Saccharomyces cerevisiae S288C: one gene and its partner. The gene in region 2 interacts genetically with the main gene of each other region. Each region holds a gene or a part of one and is shown on either strand. Other genes may lie near its edges. The genes, in order: YLR464W and PRM3.

The links.
Region 1: mutations in PRM3 (region 2) and YLR464W together harm fitness more than expected from each alone (negative genetic interaction), as found in Saccharomyces cerevisiae (one large-scale study listed by BioGRID).

What each region holds. Positions count from the first base shown.
Region 1 is NC_001144.5:1,061,333-1,070,745, reverse strand, and holds YLR464W (uncharacterized protein), read right to left. Parts: upstream 4,175-9,413; coding exon 3,662-4,174; intron 3,660-3,661; coding exon of another isoform or gene 3,383-3,659; coding exon 3,245-3,382; downstream 1-3,244. Other genes in the region: YRF1-4 (Y' element ATP-dependent helicase protein 1 copy 4), read right to left, coding at 1-3,659; YLR462W (uncharacterized protein), read right to left, coding at 4,182-4,790; seripauperin PAU4, read right to left, coding at 7,465-7,827.
Region 2 is NC_001148.4:177,163-185,025, forward strand, and holds PRM3 (pheromone-regulated protein PRM3), read right to left. Parts: upstream 5,895-7,863; coding exon 5,493-5,894; downstream 1-5,492. Other genes in the region: APL5 (Apl5p), read left to right, coding at 1-1,859; DDC1 (Ddc1p), read left to right, coding at 2,115-3,953; RSA1 (Rsa1p), read left to right, coding at 4,241-5,386; MIY2 (ubiquitinyl hydrolase 1), read right to left, coding at 6,435-7,517. UniProt on the Saccharomyces cerevisiae protein: Required for the fusion of nuclear envelopes during mating, ensuring proper karyogamy. Plays a role in the initiation of outer nuclear envelope fusion.

The DNA of each region.
Region 1 (9,413 bases), on a different chromosome or scaffold from region 2:
GCCTCCCATTCTTCCCGGCACTTTTTCTCGTCCCAGTTCAAAAAGTACTGCAGCACCTCTGTCTTCGATTCACGCAAGTTGCTCCATACTTTATAATACAACTCTTTGATCTGCCTTCCAGACATGCGGAAAACTTGGCTCCCTTGCTTGCCTCTTGTCGAATCCAATACACTAATTGTTTCTCTTCTTCTAGTAATGGCCAGGTACCAAGCATAATTTCTCTGTATCTGAGAGTAGATCTCTCCCCTTTTTACGCTAAAATATTTCAAATATCCTACAGGGTCCCCATGATATGGCTCGATGTCTTCCAAGTATTCTTTGTATTCCTCGTCATTTCGCAGCATTCTCTCCACAGCTAGTGCTTCCCAAGCCATCCTCCGATACGATACTTTCTGGCCAGCCCAACAGACACAGAGCTCGAACATCTTTTGACAGCCCTTGCATAATCCGTATTGTGTGAATACTCCCTCTGGGCAGAAGTATACGTCAATACCATAGAGGAAAAGATGTTTAATTTCGTCAGACCGAAATCCAAGAAACTGTAAGACATTCATATTCTCGGAAGTATTGGGAAATTGTGCTTTCAGTTTCTTTCTCTCTAGCAAAACCATTTGACTCCCTTTCCGCTTATACGACTCTTTGTTAATGTCGGTGACTGGATGGAATCTATTATCCTCAGCATTGCCATCTTTATTGGCGTCCTCCTTGGCACTAGCGTTGGTACTTTCAGTGGTAGTGGCATTAGTGCTGGAGTTGGTGCTAGCAGTGGTAGTGGCATTAGTGCTGGAGTTGGTGCTAGCAGTGGTAGTAGCACTAGTGTTGGAGTCGGTACTTTCGGTGGTAGTAGCACTAGTGTTGGAGTCGGTACTTTCGGTGGTAGTAGCACTAGTGTTGGAGTTGGTACTTTCAGTGGTAGTCGCACTAGTCCTGACGTTGATGCTGGCAGTGGTAGTAGCACTAGTCCTGACGTTGGTGCTGGCAGTGGTAGTAGCATTAGTGCTGGAGTTGGTACTTTCAGTGGTAATCGCACTAGTCCTGACGTTGATGCTGGCAGTGGTAGTAGCACTAGTCCTGACGTTGGTGCTGGCAGTGGTAGTAGCATTAGTGCTGGAGTTGGTAGTCGCATTGGTACTGGCATTAGCACTACCATGAATGCACGTGTCGCTGTCCTCATCACTGCTGCAATACTTTCTGCACCTGTCACTGCTATTGCTCTCCTGGAAGCTAGACGGTAACGCAATGATCGACATGGAAGCTGTCGCCTGTTTTTCAGCCAATCTGTCCATTCTTTCTATCAGTTCCACTGTGTCAGCAGACAGGTCTGTCCTGGAGCCACAGCATCCAACATGCTGGCCCTTTTTTCCTTTCTTTGATTCAAGTCCATAGAACTCGCGTACCTGTTCGGTTATACAGCCTTCCTTAATCGGTGGTAATTCACCCTTACGATTCCTTGCCGCCCAACTGTTTTTTCTAGATAATAGATAACAGAGGCCCCCATCTCTTAGTCTCCCTACGCCTTGAATGAGCTCAATAATATTAAGTCTATTATCAAGCATGATCACCATCATCAATTGCTTAATGTCAATTCCTTCAGTCACTAATTTCGTTCCGATGAGAACTCGCATGCTACCGTCAGTGACAAACTCCTTTGTGCGAGACACCTTTTCTGCAGCACCCAGCTTCCCGTGTATCCATACCACCCTAAAATACTTTCTCCAAGAGCAGGCCAATTCTTCCACTTCGTTGGTTGTGCTTGCAACTACAATGGCCTTCGACTCTGGTTCAATTTCAAAGAGGGCTAAAAGAAGCTTCAGTGCTTCTTCGGGCTGTGATTCCACTTTCTTCCAAATTTTATGAACATGCCCTAAAGGCACCTCGGATTTCTCCTTGATTAGATTAAACATCCGTGTTGGATAGCTGGATAGACCTCTGCTGAGATCTTCCGACCGTTTGAGCTCGTTGATGTCCATCGACTTCTTGGCCAGTCCCGTAAGCCCAATACGCTGCAACGCAGCATCAGCTACAGCCTCAGGTGCTGTGCCGCTCAAAAAGATTGCTTTCTCAAAAGCGTCAAAATCAAGGTTAGTTATGCCCCCAAATTGCGACTGCCGGTAGACCTCCGTTTCAAAGTTGTGAAACTCATCTACAATGAGGTAACCCAATTTTACGTTGTTGGTCCTAAAGGTGCACTCAACAATATTCTCCCACGCAGCTATCCTGTCTGTGAAATTAGTGCTAGCAAGATCATCGTAGATCCCCACGTATAAATCAGTAACGCCATCGCAACCTTCTTCAATAAAGTTTCTTACAGGGGCCACATTCAAGCAACCGCATCGGCTCAACCTGATCATGCAATTAGCAAGCAACACTGTGTACGGTACAAACAGAAACGACACATATTTCACGTCGCCCTTAGACGCCAGTGCTATCAAGGGGAGATGAAATAACTCCGTCTTACCATAGCCCGGTGGGGCCTGTACTGCCACAGAGGGTGTGTCTGCCATGTATATTTCATGACATAAGCGCAACTGATGCAAGTCCCTGAATTCAAAGGAGCTGCCAAAGAGTTTCCGGCCTGCGACGAGGATATCGTTTGTACTCTTGGGCTCTCGGGGCCTTTTTCGCGTTACTCTTGAAATTTTTTGATGATGATCTGAACTCGCCGCCTCACCTGCCACTACGTCTTCCGCATTCCGAGTACTAGAGAATGAACAATGGTAGTCGCTTTCAAGGCCTAACCATTGAATCCAGCGCTCGGAAGCTCGTTCCTGCAATAAAGTGGCGGTCGTCCCACTGACACTAGTTAACGAAAAGGAATCCACACCGTAAATATTTCGCCCTGTTTGAACGGAATGATTGGCCATGAGTTCACTCGTCGCCGACTCGTACAAATCTGTTTCAAATCTGCTACCTACGCAGTGCCGTCCTAGGGCAATCAACCCCTGACGCATCTCCCGAAAATTCAGCTTCTGAGGTGCATTCTTCGGAAGTTCCCTCATGTACTGCCGAAAAGTTGCGTATTCAACCAGACAGCCCTTCGCGGTATTCAGAAACATGTAGGAATACAAAACTATCCTCGAAATGTCTCGATTTGTTACTTGATCTGGATCCTCAAATCCCACCACATCCATCCAAGGATCATGATTAAAAGCGTCATAACTGTTACCAAGCGCACATATTTGCATTTGCCTTAGCACAGTGACAAAATAAAACACGTAATCTGAAGTGAGTCCGTCAAGCGTCTTTAGTCGAGGCTCCGATGAACCGTTCTTGTTGTAATCAGTGTACAGTTGGATGCGTCTTGTTGTATCATCGACGTATACGTTGCGCTGAGGACCGGCAAAAGCGAGTAGCTGAAGCTCTGGATAACGGTAAGGGTATCCTACGGCAAAATGGATCATCCACATAAGTGGCACCGTAAGCTCGTCAATTGCAACAGCGACTTTATTTTTAAGAGCCGCGGTCATTTTGTTAGTATCTCTTCTCAACTTGGGCAGCACAATTTCACGATATTTAACAGGTATCATTTGAAAAAAAGAATCGTTTTCCAGATACTCGTCAATTCCTCGCTTCGGTTCTCTGAACAAAACTTCTCGATTACGCAAAATGAGGCTGGCATATGGAAGCAGTTGTTCAACTCTCCCCAAAGTTTTCCACATACTGATATACCATCAGAAGAAGGTACCAAAGTTATTCTATAAGAGTCCTTCAGCGTGGTTTCCTGCGCTACTTCGTGGTACAGAATTTTGATCCATTTCCACATTGCAACGCCGTTGTTGTCATCAAATATATCTAAATCCCTTGCGGTACAAGCACAAGACGACACCAATAAAGCTTTCACGGCATCTAGTGTTTTTCTGAGTCTTCGTGGAGTGTTAGGACTGCGCAACTTACATACTTTCAGGCCATGCTCGTCCACAGAGGGAATAATGGGTTCTTCATTCGTAATAGATCGATCCTCTTCGTCACCAGCGCCACCACGGGGACCCGCCCCGAAATTGAGTGCACATGCTCGCAAGATAATATGCAAAATATCACCCAATCGGTCCTTTTTGTTCATCATATCGTTACATATCTGTGAAAAGTACTTTATCTCAATGGGTTTACGTGGGCATAGATCACGCTTCAGCCGCTCTGTGTCGACTTTCTTTTCGCCAGGTAAACTTGCTTGCATAGCTCATCTACGTGTAGGCTGCCAAATTGTACCCATATTTCCTTATGGTGCTTTTCTGAAGACTCCTTACAATAGGTGCGCCGGAAACAAAGTCAGTGAAAGTACGCATCGTAGAGCTGTCGTTCGGCCTAGCACTCGCTATTTCGTGACAACGTTCCAGGACACGGAAACTCAACTCATTATAGTATCCTCTGTTGAGGTAAAAAAGAGAAAGGGTATCGTAATCCTTTCTATTGAATTTCAAAGTATGCACTTGAAACAACGTGTAGACCATCAAGTTGATTTTCTTGGGAACAAGATACTTTGAAGGGATTGGTCCGCCCTGGAAATCTGGTTCGTCTTCAACAAACGTCAGGAACTTTTTTACATTTTTCCCGACCATGACGGAAATGACAACTTTTTCAAAAGACCTTTTCCTATCCATTGCACCAGTTCTGAATTTTACCACTTTGATTAGGCCAGACTTTTCGTCTTCGTAGAATGACCGCACTTCCGTGGGGATCGATTCAAATAAAGTTATTGAGGGACAATGTACCAAGTCGTTTTTGTTATTTAGAGCCGACTCAAACTCGTCAAAGTTTGCTTTTTCAAACTTACGCCTATCGGAAACTTTCATTTTATTTTTGTAAGTTTCGAAATTAACAATAGTATGTTGATTTTTATGCTTTTTGACAAGAAATCCATCAATATAAACAAAAGATTGTCCAGTTTTCGTCTTATCATCATCTAAGAATGTAATAATTAAGCTATTGAGAAGATGCAGAATCTGCGCTATGCAGGTGCAGCAAAAGCAAACAAAATCTCACTAAGATAAGCGACTGTCTGTCCCCTTCAAGCACAACATAGAAAACAGAAGGATGTCTCATTCATCGCTTGATTTCCGGCCTGCAAAAATAAAGTAGTCGGTACGTACTTTCGTTTTCAATTTCCATGGTGCACAGTATCTTAACTATCTGCTTAGTCGAGGAGAACCAGGATTCTGTTCGTTGCTCAGCCGCTTCGTGGATATTCTCTTGGATACTTTAAACATGGACCTACGTTCCGCTCTCGAAAAGACCAATATAATAAAAAGTTATAAATTACATTTCCTTATTAGGTATACGACCTCGCGCTTCGAAGTAGAGGAGCCCTTTTTGGCGTACCTACATATGGCGCGTCAGACAGACAAACTTCCCCCAAAAATGTATTACCCCGCCGAATAAGAAAACAGACCCATTCACCAACGACGTATCAAGTTACTTCCTTGGTTTGCAATGTCCCACTATAAAAAAATTCCTTGACGCTAGATCTTTGGGCTAAAATCTGCGTCAAACAGGAAATATTGCCTATTTTCGTACAAGGTTACTTCCTAGATGCTATATGTCCCTACGGCCTTGTCTAACACCATCCAGCATGCAATAAGGTGACATAGATATACACACCACACCCACACCCACACCCACACCCACACCCACACCACACCCACCACACCCACACACCACACACACACACACCACACCACACCCACACACCCACACACCACACCCACACACACACACACACCTAACCCTAACACTACCCTACTCTAACCCTGATCAACCTGTCTCTCAACTTACCCTCCATTACCCTACTCCCCACTCGTTACCCTGTCTCATTCAACTATACCACTCCCAACTACCATCCACCTCTCTACTTCCTACCACCAACCCACCGTCCACCATAACCGTTACCCTCCAATTACCCATATCCAACTCCGCCACCACTTACCCTGCCATTCCTCTACCATCTCCCATCTACTACTCACCATACTGTTGTTCTACCCACCATATTGAAACGTTAACAAATGATCGTAAACAATACACATATACTTACCCTATCACTCTATACCATCACCACCACTTGCCACACTCACCTTCACTTGTATACTGATATGTCATACGCACACGGATACTACAGTATATACCATCTCAACTTACCCTACTCTCATATTCCACTCCACTCCATGGCCCATCTCTCACTAAATCAGTGCCAAATGCACTCACATCATTATGCACGGCACTTGCCTCAGCGGTCTATACTCTGTGCCATTTACCCATAAATCCCATGATTATCCACATTTTAATATCTATATCTCATTCAGTGGCCTCGAATATTGTAAAAATGCTCTTAATACATACGTTATATTACTTTTGCACCATATACTAACCACTCAATTTAAATACACTTATGCCAATATTACAGAAAAATCACCACTAAAATCACCTAAACATAAAAATATTCTATTCTTCAACAATAATACAAAAACATATTGACTTGGAGTATGAACACTACCATGACGTCATTAACGTAAAAGTTCCTTAATATTGCAGTTTGCTTGAACGGATGCCATTTCAGAATATTTCGTACTTATGCAGACCATACATTAGAATAATATGCTACCTCACTGTCGTAACACTCTCCATTCACTGTGCTATAATATGGTACTGTGTTGACACTCATGCGGGTGCTATGATAAAATTGTATCCTATTTCCATTCCCATATGCTATCCGCAATATCCTAAAAGCATAACTGATGCATCTTTAATCTTGTATGTGACACTACTCATACGAAGAGACTATATCTGAACAAGACGATACTGTGATAGGTACGTTATTTAATAGGATCTATAACGAAATGTCAAATAATTTTACGGTAATATAACTTATCAGCGGCGTATACTGAAACGGACGTTACGATATTGTCTCACTTCATCTTACCACCCTCTATCTTATTGTTGATAGAACACTAACCCTTCAGCTTTATTTCTGGTTACGGTTACACAAAAACTATCGCAACCCAGAAATTTTGATATTTTCAGTGTCAAAAAATGAGGGTCTCTAAATGAGAGTTTGATACCATGACTCCGTAACTCGCACTGCCCTGATCTGCAATCTTGTTCTTAGAAGTGACGCATATTCTATACGGCCCGACGCGACGCGCCAAAAAATGAAAAAAGAAGCAGCGACTCATTTTTATGGAAAGACAAAGTGCTGAGAAGTCATGCGCTTCCAATTTCATTATTGTTTATTGGACATACTCTATTAGCTTTATTACCATCCACCCTTTTTCTAGAATAGTGTAAAAGTTTCTTTTTATGTTTATCGTATTCATAAAATGCTTCACGAACACTGTCATTGATCAAATAGGTTTATAATATTAATATACATTTATATAATCTACGGTATTTATATCATCAAAAAAAAGTAGTTTTTATTTTATTTTTCATTACTTTTTACTGTCTATGAATTTTCATTCGTAGAGGCACTCGTCCCTAGTTTGCGATAGTGTAGATACCATCTTTGGATAGAGCCTTGGAGATAGCTGGCTTTAATCTGCTGGAGTACCATGGAACACCGGTGATCATTCTGGTCACTTGGTCTGGGGCAATACCAGTCAACATGGTGGTGAAGTCACCGTAGTTGAAAACGGCTTCAGCAACTTCAACTGGGTAGGTTTCAGTTGGGTGGGCGGCTTGGAACATGTAGTATTGGGCCAAGTGAGCTCTGATATCAGAGACGTAGACACCCAATTCAACCAAGTTGACTCTTTCGTCAGATTGAGCTATAGTGGTGGTTGCGGAAGCAGTAGCAGCGATGGCAGCGACACCAGCGGCGATTGAAGTTAATTTGACCATTGTATTTGTTTTGTTTGTTAGTGCTGATATAAGCTTAACAGGAAAGAAAGGAATAAAGACATATTCTCAAAGGCATACAGTTGAAGCAGCTCTATTTATACCCATGCCTTCATCAGTCATCACTATTTAAACGATTCGTTAACAGACGCTCATTTAGCACCTCACATATCCTCCATATCTCATCTTTCACACAATCTCATTATCAGTATGGAAATGCTCTTGTTTCTGAACGAATCATACATCTTTCATAGACTTCGTATGTGGAGTATTGTTTTATGGCACTCATGTGTATTCGTATGCGCAGAATGTGGGAATGCCTATTATAGGGATGCCGGGGTACCTTGAAAAACCCTTTTGCGCGCCTGTGATTTCCGTTTTCGGTCAAAAAGAATATCTGAATTTTAGATTTGGACCCTCGTACAGAAGTCTATTGTCTAAGCCTAATTTCAGTGCTTTAAACGGCTTCCGCGGAAGAAGCATTTCTATCTCTTGAATTCGTACAACATTAAACGTGTGTTGGGAGTCGTATACTGTTAGGGTCTGCAATTTGTGAACTCTCGGCGAATGCCTTGGTGCAATTACGTAATTGTAGCCGCTGAAGGCGGATGGTATTGAGAGAAGTTGATGTTCAAAGTATCGTGTATGATAAAAATAAAATTGTAACCAGTTCGTAGTAGCAGTATTAAAACTTTGCACAGAGGGAAATATTTGATTCCGAGATGTAATCCCTCTTTTCTAGCCAGATATGAAGGAGAAAAGTGTAAGGGTAGTAGAGAGCGCTACTTTATTTTATTTTATTTTAAAAATGTTCTCTAGGAAAGGTGTATTAATAGTTGATAAAAAAAGTATTTTGTCTTCTATGTTCATAATTTCAATTCTTGAATTTTGGAAATCGTGAAATGCTTCGAGAAACCGCCTTCAATAATTAGAAAACAAAATAAAAGATTACAATTAGGCCACTCAAAAATACAATTCAGATAAGAAAGGAGCGATAGTGGGGAGTAAGAATTGGAAATACCCTTGATAATCAGGGAAAACTTAAGGAACGGGGTGTTAAAAGTCTGTGAAGTATAGATCAAACTCGCACTAGCTAGCAATACTCATGAGAACCCATGTGAGTCTAAAGCTGTGAAACTTCTTTAGAAAGCAGAGCATCCTCTAAGTTAACAGTTTTCCATACTTATTCAGTATGGATCAAGTTCCACAGTTTGTCAACTTCTGTAAAATAAACTTGTAGTGCTTCTTCGATGAAAAGGGATAGAATCTTTAAAAGACTTGATCTTGGCATTTTTATCCTCCTTCAAGCAGAATGGCTCCAGTAGAGTTGTTCTGAACGCTTCTGGGCAGTGAGCAGCATTGAAGAAAAAGTACTCAGCATTCCAAGCTTTGTTTTCATATAATTATAAATTAAAACTCATAGCCACCAATTTCCAGGTTTTGGTCGCAATATGCTGCAGAGTCAATGGCTTGTTTCATTACTATACTAGTCCGACGGAGTTTACTTTACTCTAAATTTTCTGAAATAGAAAGGCCACACGCCATACAATTAACAATAGTTCATTTAGTTGAAAGGTTTCCGAGATAGA
Region 2 (7,863 bases):
CATGCCTGGAAAGATTGCACACATTTTGTGATTCTCAGGATCCAAATTTGAGATATATTAGCTGCATATTGTTTTACAAGATCGGCAAAATCAATACTGATTTTATTTCTCGGTTCGACCAACTGATTATACGCTTACTCTCCGATGTCGACGTTTCTATAAGATCAAAAGCAATTGAATTGGTTGAAGGTATTGTTGATGAGGATAACTTAAAGGCAATTGTCCAAACATTGATGAAGCAATTTGTAGATGAAGATGTGGTTATCCTACAAACTGGAAGCATCGTATACGAAAAATCAAAGAGAATTCCCATAATAATTCCAGAAAATTACAAGATAAAAATGGTGAACGTCATTATATCGATTTGTTCAGCTGACAACTATTCCAGTGTTAACGACTTTGAATGGTACAATGCAGTAATAATGGACTTGGCGATGCTCTGTCAAGACATATCTGATAAAAGCCTTGGATCAAAAATTGGTGAACAGTTTAGGAATTTGATGATAAAAGTTCCTTCAATGAGAGAAGTAACCATTGCTAATATTATAAAGCTTATTTCAAATGACAATATTAACAAACAGTTGCCTACCGTATTGAGAGAATGCATTTGGTGTCTCGGAGAATTTTCTACCCTAGTTGAAAATGGTAACGACTTAATAAAAATCATGACTGAGAATATCAGTTATTATTCTCATAGTGTACAAGAAGTTTTAATTTTAGCACTTGTTAAAGTATTTAGTAATTGGTGTAATAACTTTCAGGAGGATAAACGCTTTGAAATTAAAATGGTGTTAAAAGAGCTAATTGAATTTTTTGAAAATTTATCTTATTCGAGTACATTCGAAGTCCAGGAAAGAAGCGTAGAAGTTTTAGAATTTTTAAGACTAAGTTTGGAGGCTTTAGAGGAGGATACGGAAGGTCTACCAATGCTACTGAGCGAAGTCCTGCCTAGTTTTTTTAACGCCTATGAACTCGCACCAATTGCGCGTGGGACTCAATTGAAGTTAGCAGTAGATGAGAATCTTGATCTAGAAACTCCATTTTTGACAAAGGAGGCAGCTGATGAACTCTTAGATGAACAAAAAAGTGACGCCATCAGTGATTTAATGTCTGATATCTCAATGGACGAGCAAGTTGAACTAAAATTCGTTGATGATTCTGATACTTCGTATGAAGAAAAGGAAAAATTGGATGATTTTGAAAATCCATTTGAGATTGAGAGAGAAAAGGAACGGATGTCAAATCCTTATTATCTAGGTGAAGAAGACGAAGAAAGAACTAAGAACTCTAAAGATTTGTTGGACTTGAATGAGGAGGAAAGTAGTGATAAAAAGCCAGAAACTATTAGATTAAATAGAACCGATAATTCGTTGAATTCTCTAAGTTTATCTACAACTGAAATCAGCAGAAAGAAGAAGAAGGGAAAGAAGAAAAATAGGGTTCAAGTCTTATCCGATGAACCTGTTATCGAAGCCGCTCCCAAAAGGAAAGATGCATTCCAGAAACCCCATGATAATCATTCAACTCAAAATCCTTTGAAAAAGGACAAGATTAATCTGAGAATGCACTCTCAACTTGAAAATTTTGATTTTTCCAATTTTGGGCAATCGAGTAACGCAGGAAGAGGATCGCAGGAAGAGGGCAACCTTAGAAAGGAAGACGAGTTAGAATTAAGTCGTTTAGAGGCCAATCTTATTGTAAAAGATGAAAAGGATAATTTAAGTGATACTGAAGAAGTTATAGTTATAAAAAAGAAGAAGAAAGGGAAAAAGTCAAAGTCAAAAAACAAACTAAAAACGAAAGCAAAAAATTCTCCAGAACCAAATGAATTTCTTCGAGACCAAAGCACTGACATTTAACGATAAAAAAATCGAAGTCGTGAATTCTCAATGACAGCGATTACGTACGTAAACTATAATTAATTTAAGTATTTTATTCTGCATAGTATATTATTGCGGTGCACTCAATTTGCCGAAAGAGACGGCATATTTAATAATGACGCGAATGAATCAAAGGCCGCCAAAGGTAATCATAGACCAGAGATGATTTGCAAAATTATTTGACATACTATTGCTAGTGTAACAATAACACAGCATAACTTTGCTTAGACATATATGTCATTTAAGGCAACTATCACCGAGTCGGGGAAGCAGAATATCTGGTTTCGTGCGATATATGTGTTATCTACAATTCAGGATGATATCAAGATTACAGTGACAACAAATGAGTTAATTGCTTGGTCAATGAACGAGACAGATACTACTCTTTGTCAGGTTAGGTTTCAGAAAAGCTTTTTTGAGGAGTATGAGTTTAAACCACATGAGATTGTATTTGGAGAAAATGGGGTTCAAGTTATAGAAGATACGTACGGCAATAGTCATAAGTTATACTCCTTCCGTGTTAATGGAAGACACCTAACAACTATATCAAGAAAGCCGGATGGTGATGGCATCAAATCATTCACAATTGCGGTAAACAACACTTCTACCTGTCCTGAATCACTTGCAAATAGATTGATTGTGGTGATTGAAATGGATTCGTTAATAGTCAAAGAATACTGTCCCCAATTCCAGCCAATAAAATACGATCCCATAATAATCAACCTTAAGTACAAAAGGAGGTTTTTGGATGTTTTTGGAACTGCTGCCTCCGATCGGAATCCACAGGAGCCCTTGGACCCTAAGCTATTGGACGTTTTTACAAATACAGAGCGTGAGCTAACATCAGCCTTATTTAACGAAGAAGTGGAATCAGACATACGTAAAAGGAATCAGTTAACGGCTGCTGATGAGATTAATTACATTTGTTGTAATTCAACTTTATTGAAGAATTTTTTAGACAACTGCAATGTTAATGTAACCGATGAAGTAAAATTGGAAATTAACGTACATAGGCTAAGCATAACTGCATTCACCAAGGCCGTCTACGGCAAAAATAACGACCTTTTAAGAAATGCGTTAAGCATGAGTAACACTATCAGTACGCTCGATCTTGAGCATTATTGCTTATTTACAACAATCGAAGATGAAAAACAAGATAAGCGATCACATAGTAAGCGTAGAGAGCATATGAAAAGTATAATATTCAAATTGAAGGACTTCAAAAACTTCATAACGATAGGTCCATCCTGGAAGACTACCCAGGACGGAAATGATAATATAAGTTTATGGTTTTGCCACCCAGGGGACCCTATTCTTATGCAAATGCAAAAACCGGGCGTAAAATTAGAATTGGTTGAAGTTACTGACAGTAACATTAACGATGATATTTTAGAAGGAAAATTCATAAAAACAGCAATCTCTGGCTCCAAAGAAGAGGCCGGACTGAAAGACAACAAAGAAAGCTGCGAAAGTCCATTAAAAAGCAAAACTGCTTTAAAGAGAGAAAACCTGCCACACTCTGTGGCTGGAACTCGAAACAGTCCTTTGAAAGTGTCGTATCTGACCCCTGATAATGGAAGCACAGTTGCTAAGACCTATAGAAATAACACGGCAAGAAAATTATTCGTGGAAGAACAAAGCCAAAGTACGAATTACGAACAAGATAAGCGGTTCCGGCAGGCTAGTTCAGTTCATATGAACATGAATCGGGAACAAAGTTTTGACATTGGTACGACTCATGAAGTGGCCTGTCCACGTAATGAGAGCAATTCTTTAAAAAGATCCATAGCAGATATTTGTAATGAAACTGAAGACCCCACCCAACAATCTACATTTGCAAAAAGGGCAGACACCACTGTGACATGGGGAAAAGCGTTACCAGCTGCAGATGATGAGGTTTCATGCAGCAATATCGATAGAAAAGGAATGCTCAAGAAAGAAAAATTGAAGCATATGCAAGGTCTGTTGAATTCCCAGAATGACACAAGTAATCACAAGAAACAGGACAATAAAGAGATGGAAGATGGGCTGGGTCTAACACAAGTAGAAAAGCCAAGGGGTATATTTGACTAAAACCATAATGCAAAATCAGTATAAAGGCGTGTAAATATTAGATGAAGTAGCAATTATCATGATAATATCGATCGCTGTTTTTTTTTTTTTTTCTGTCTCAATTTGGTGAGCGTGCGGCTGATGGTCCATCACGGTCGGGGAACAAACTAAAATTTTCAATAGCATAATATCTCTATATTGCATAGCTTTTTACTTAATAGGAACTTAAAAATTTCATTGATGCTATTATATTTAACTCATAAGTCAATCTCTTTTTCCATTTTGATTAGCTTATTGCGACATGGACTATGAATTATAATAACTTTGAAAATTCGAAGGGTGATGGACATTCTAGGCTTCCCAAACCTACATACTCCGGAACGCTATCAGATGGCTATGATGAATCGAAAATTAAAAGGCAAAAAACAGACTCTGCTTTTAATGCAGCTTACTCACCTCATATGTATCCGAACTCTCCGTATTATGAAGGTTCATGGAATACCGGTTATACTCCTCAACTTCATCATGTAGCCCCTCATAATCAATATTTCCATCCAATACAACCGTCCACTCAGTACAATTATACGAGTCCTCCCAATTATACAGAAAATTACATACCGCCAGTTCATCAGAATATATCTTATGCACCAGCGCTTAATTTACAGAAGTGGCCATCATCATATTGTGAAAACACTCAAGCCTTAAAGAATGATAAAGATTACCAAACATCAATTAGTTATGAAGATGTTGCAATACCGACCGTAAAGGAAATACAATTGATTGAGAAAAACAGAGGGAAAGATACGTTTATGAATGAAATAAGTCCAGTACCATCAAGCAAGGATCAAGCATCTGCGGAGCCTACAGAAATCCCAAGAAAGGATCCCGAGCTGGCAAATTCTAATGCCGAAGATGATCATAATAACTTAGGGCTAGAAGATGATGATCGTGATGAGCAGTTAGAATCAGAGGGGTTGGGTAAGGTGGTTTTGGTTCCTGGAACCTCCATAGCATTGATTACTGATGAAGATGTTAAAAAGTGGAGAGAAGAAAGAAAAAAAATGTGGCTACTGAAAATATCCAATAACAAACAGAAACATATGCAAGAAATGGGCATAAAGGAAGATGAACTGAAGAGCCAACCTAGCATTTTCAAAGAGTCAAGGAAAGAAAAGCAATTTATACAGAGTATTCAAAATCAAGTGCAGAGAGGAAATCCGAAGATTGACTTGAACTTGAAATTGATACAGCGAGAATTCGCAAACGAAAACTCCCAACTTTTGGACTTTATAAGAGAATTGGGAGATGTAGGATTACTTGAATATGAGCTATCTCAACAAGAAAAAGATGTACTTTTTGGGAGCTCTGAAGATAATAATAAAAATCATTACAAACCAAATTACAAAAACAGGAAACCTAATCTGAGTAGAGCCAACTTTACTAGAAATAAGTAATAGAATAGCAAATATTGATATACATGGAAGAGTACATGCAAAGGTGCGTAAAAAAAAATAAGTCAGATAAAACTAATTACTGTTTAGAAATCATGAGTATATGAAACTAATTTTGAAGAGCTTTAACTGCTAGGTTACTTAAAACAGTAGTTACAGCAGCACCAAGGAACGAACCGAAAATGGCACCTTGGTAAAATGAACCCTTATTCTCTCTCTGTACTTTACTTTCAGAAGCGTCTTTTTTCTTACTTTTCGTTCGTGATTTTGTGGAAGATGTTGTCGTTTTGTGCTTCCTGACTCTACCAGGCGACACAGCCTTCTTAATGTGTTGTTCATTATTAACTAATGACTTTTTATTAAGCGGTCCACCGTTTTTGGCTTTATTTATAACGAACCCATCAGCAGAGTTTGAACTTGCATCTGTCAGTTTATGCACTCTAAGTTTTTCTTGGTCGTTGTTTTTCTTCAGTGTAATCAATGCAGCGTTGTCTTCTTTCATTGCTGTCATTTTTTGGAGAAGTATTTATATATTTATTAGTTATTTAATGTGTTTATAAATTTATCTTGAGGCTGGTGAAATCTATTCCAAGTATTTTAAATATGTTTGCAAATGCGAGTCTACTACTTTGGTTCCATATGATGTCAGTTTTACAACAATTTATACTAGAGATAGCCAATATACTTGTTTCAGTTCTGTTTTGCCGTAATGGAATTATAGCTCCGACAAATGTAATCTTATGCACTGAAATTCAATCCATTGTGACAAGAATTATGTATTTTAGTTCTTATTTGATTTATTTCGACGCCTCGCGCGCGCTCTTAGAATCCGGCCCGACAAAGGATCTGAAACAAGTATAAATCAAATGGCCAATATAATGTCAAGCCTGTTTTATGTGGCAATGTTTAGACAGAAAATCACGCCTGTAGGGGTCCACATATCTCCAGAATAATTAGAGAGTCGGTGTCCTTATGAGATCTTCCTTAAAGCGAACAGATTGATTAATCATGTTTTACGCGAGGATATACGATAAAAACAAGTGAACAGCTCTTACATAACAACGCACTCACTTTTCTCTTTTTCAGAAGCTTTTGCATTGAGAAGGCTGCTTCTTCGCTTAAACTTGTCTTTTTTGACTGGTGCGTGTATTTCTGAGTTTTTTTTGTGAGAATGGATTTTCCTTTTTGCTTCAAATTTCGTAACACGTTCTTGTTCTTGTTCCTGTAACTGTTTGGCTAGTTCTTTATCGTTTTCAATTTGCTGAATTTCTTCAAGTAGCAAATTTCCAGTTCCAAAATCACGTTCAATGTCAGTTGACAATTGCTGTCCATTTACCTCTGCTGCACTAAAGTTACCGGCAAAAAAAGCATCGCAGGAGCCGTCCACCGAATCTAGGGATTGCCATACAATATCTTTACAATTTTTATAACCAAAGTCCGTAACCAATGTGTATAATCGATCTTCGTATTTGAACAATGTAGAAAAATGGTCATTTCTGAATAAAATGGAGAATTTGTTGTGTAGCAGCTTTTCTCTCAATCGTAGGAGTCCAAAGGCGGTCAACTGAGTCGGTGATTCGTTCAAAAACAGACCCAAATGCATGGCATCACGTAAAACTTCGTCCGAGTTTTCATCTTGGGAAATTCCACAATTTATATCAGCTGCTTGTGTTAAGATTCTCTGCGCAGATTCATAAGAATAATGAGATAGTTTCTCATCAATGTTTTCATTTATGAAACTGTTGATAACCCAGCCATGGACAACATCAACGTTAAACAATCGAAATATTGACATCTCTTTAGTATTTTCAAAAGACCCATTAAACTCAGGGTTAATATTTAAACCTTCATGTAATCTAGGTAACAAACTTAGTAACTCACTTATATCAGTACTAGGTTTATCTGTAACTTGTAAAGCGATATCTGCTAAGACTTCAATAAGTTCTTTTAAAGATATTTGACTTCCCTTATTTACCAACCTTATTAACTCATTGGAAAAACGTGTATGATCTGGTGAAAGTATTAGAATATTTGCAAGTGCTAACAAGGCACAAGGTCCGTTTTCGTTTTGCAGTAATATTCGATGGTTTTGACCATTAATTTTGACACTTTTAGTCGTGAAACTTAAATCCATGAAAAGATATTGCAATAAACAAGAATTGCAGTGATGTGAATCTACTTTGAGCTGTTCTTTAAAGCGCCTTGTAGAATGGGCATTTTGTCCAACGTTTTCAAGACCCTTTTTTCGTACTGCTCGCTGTTAATACTGCGAAACTAAAATAAACGACAGGCAGATGACTAAAACAAATCAAACAAGAACCTCTAGGGAAAGGTGTCCTAAGCGCGGAACTTCTTTTCGTTATGGGGTAAATAGAGCGGTACTTAATAATCTGTTTACAAAGCAATTTTACAAAGTTTTGATATAAGAACATTTAACTAAAGAGAAGAAAAAGAAATGAAAAGCCATTCTCTTGGCAGAG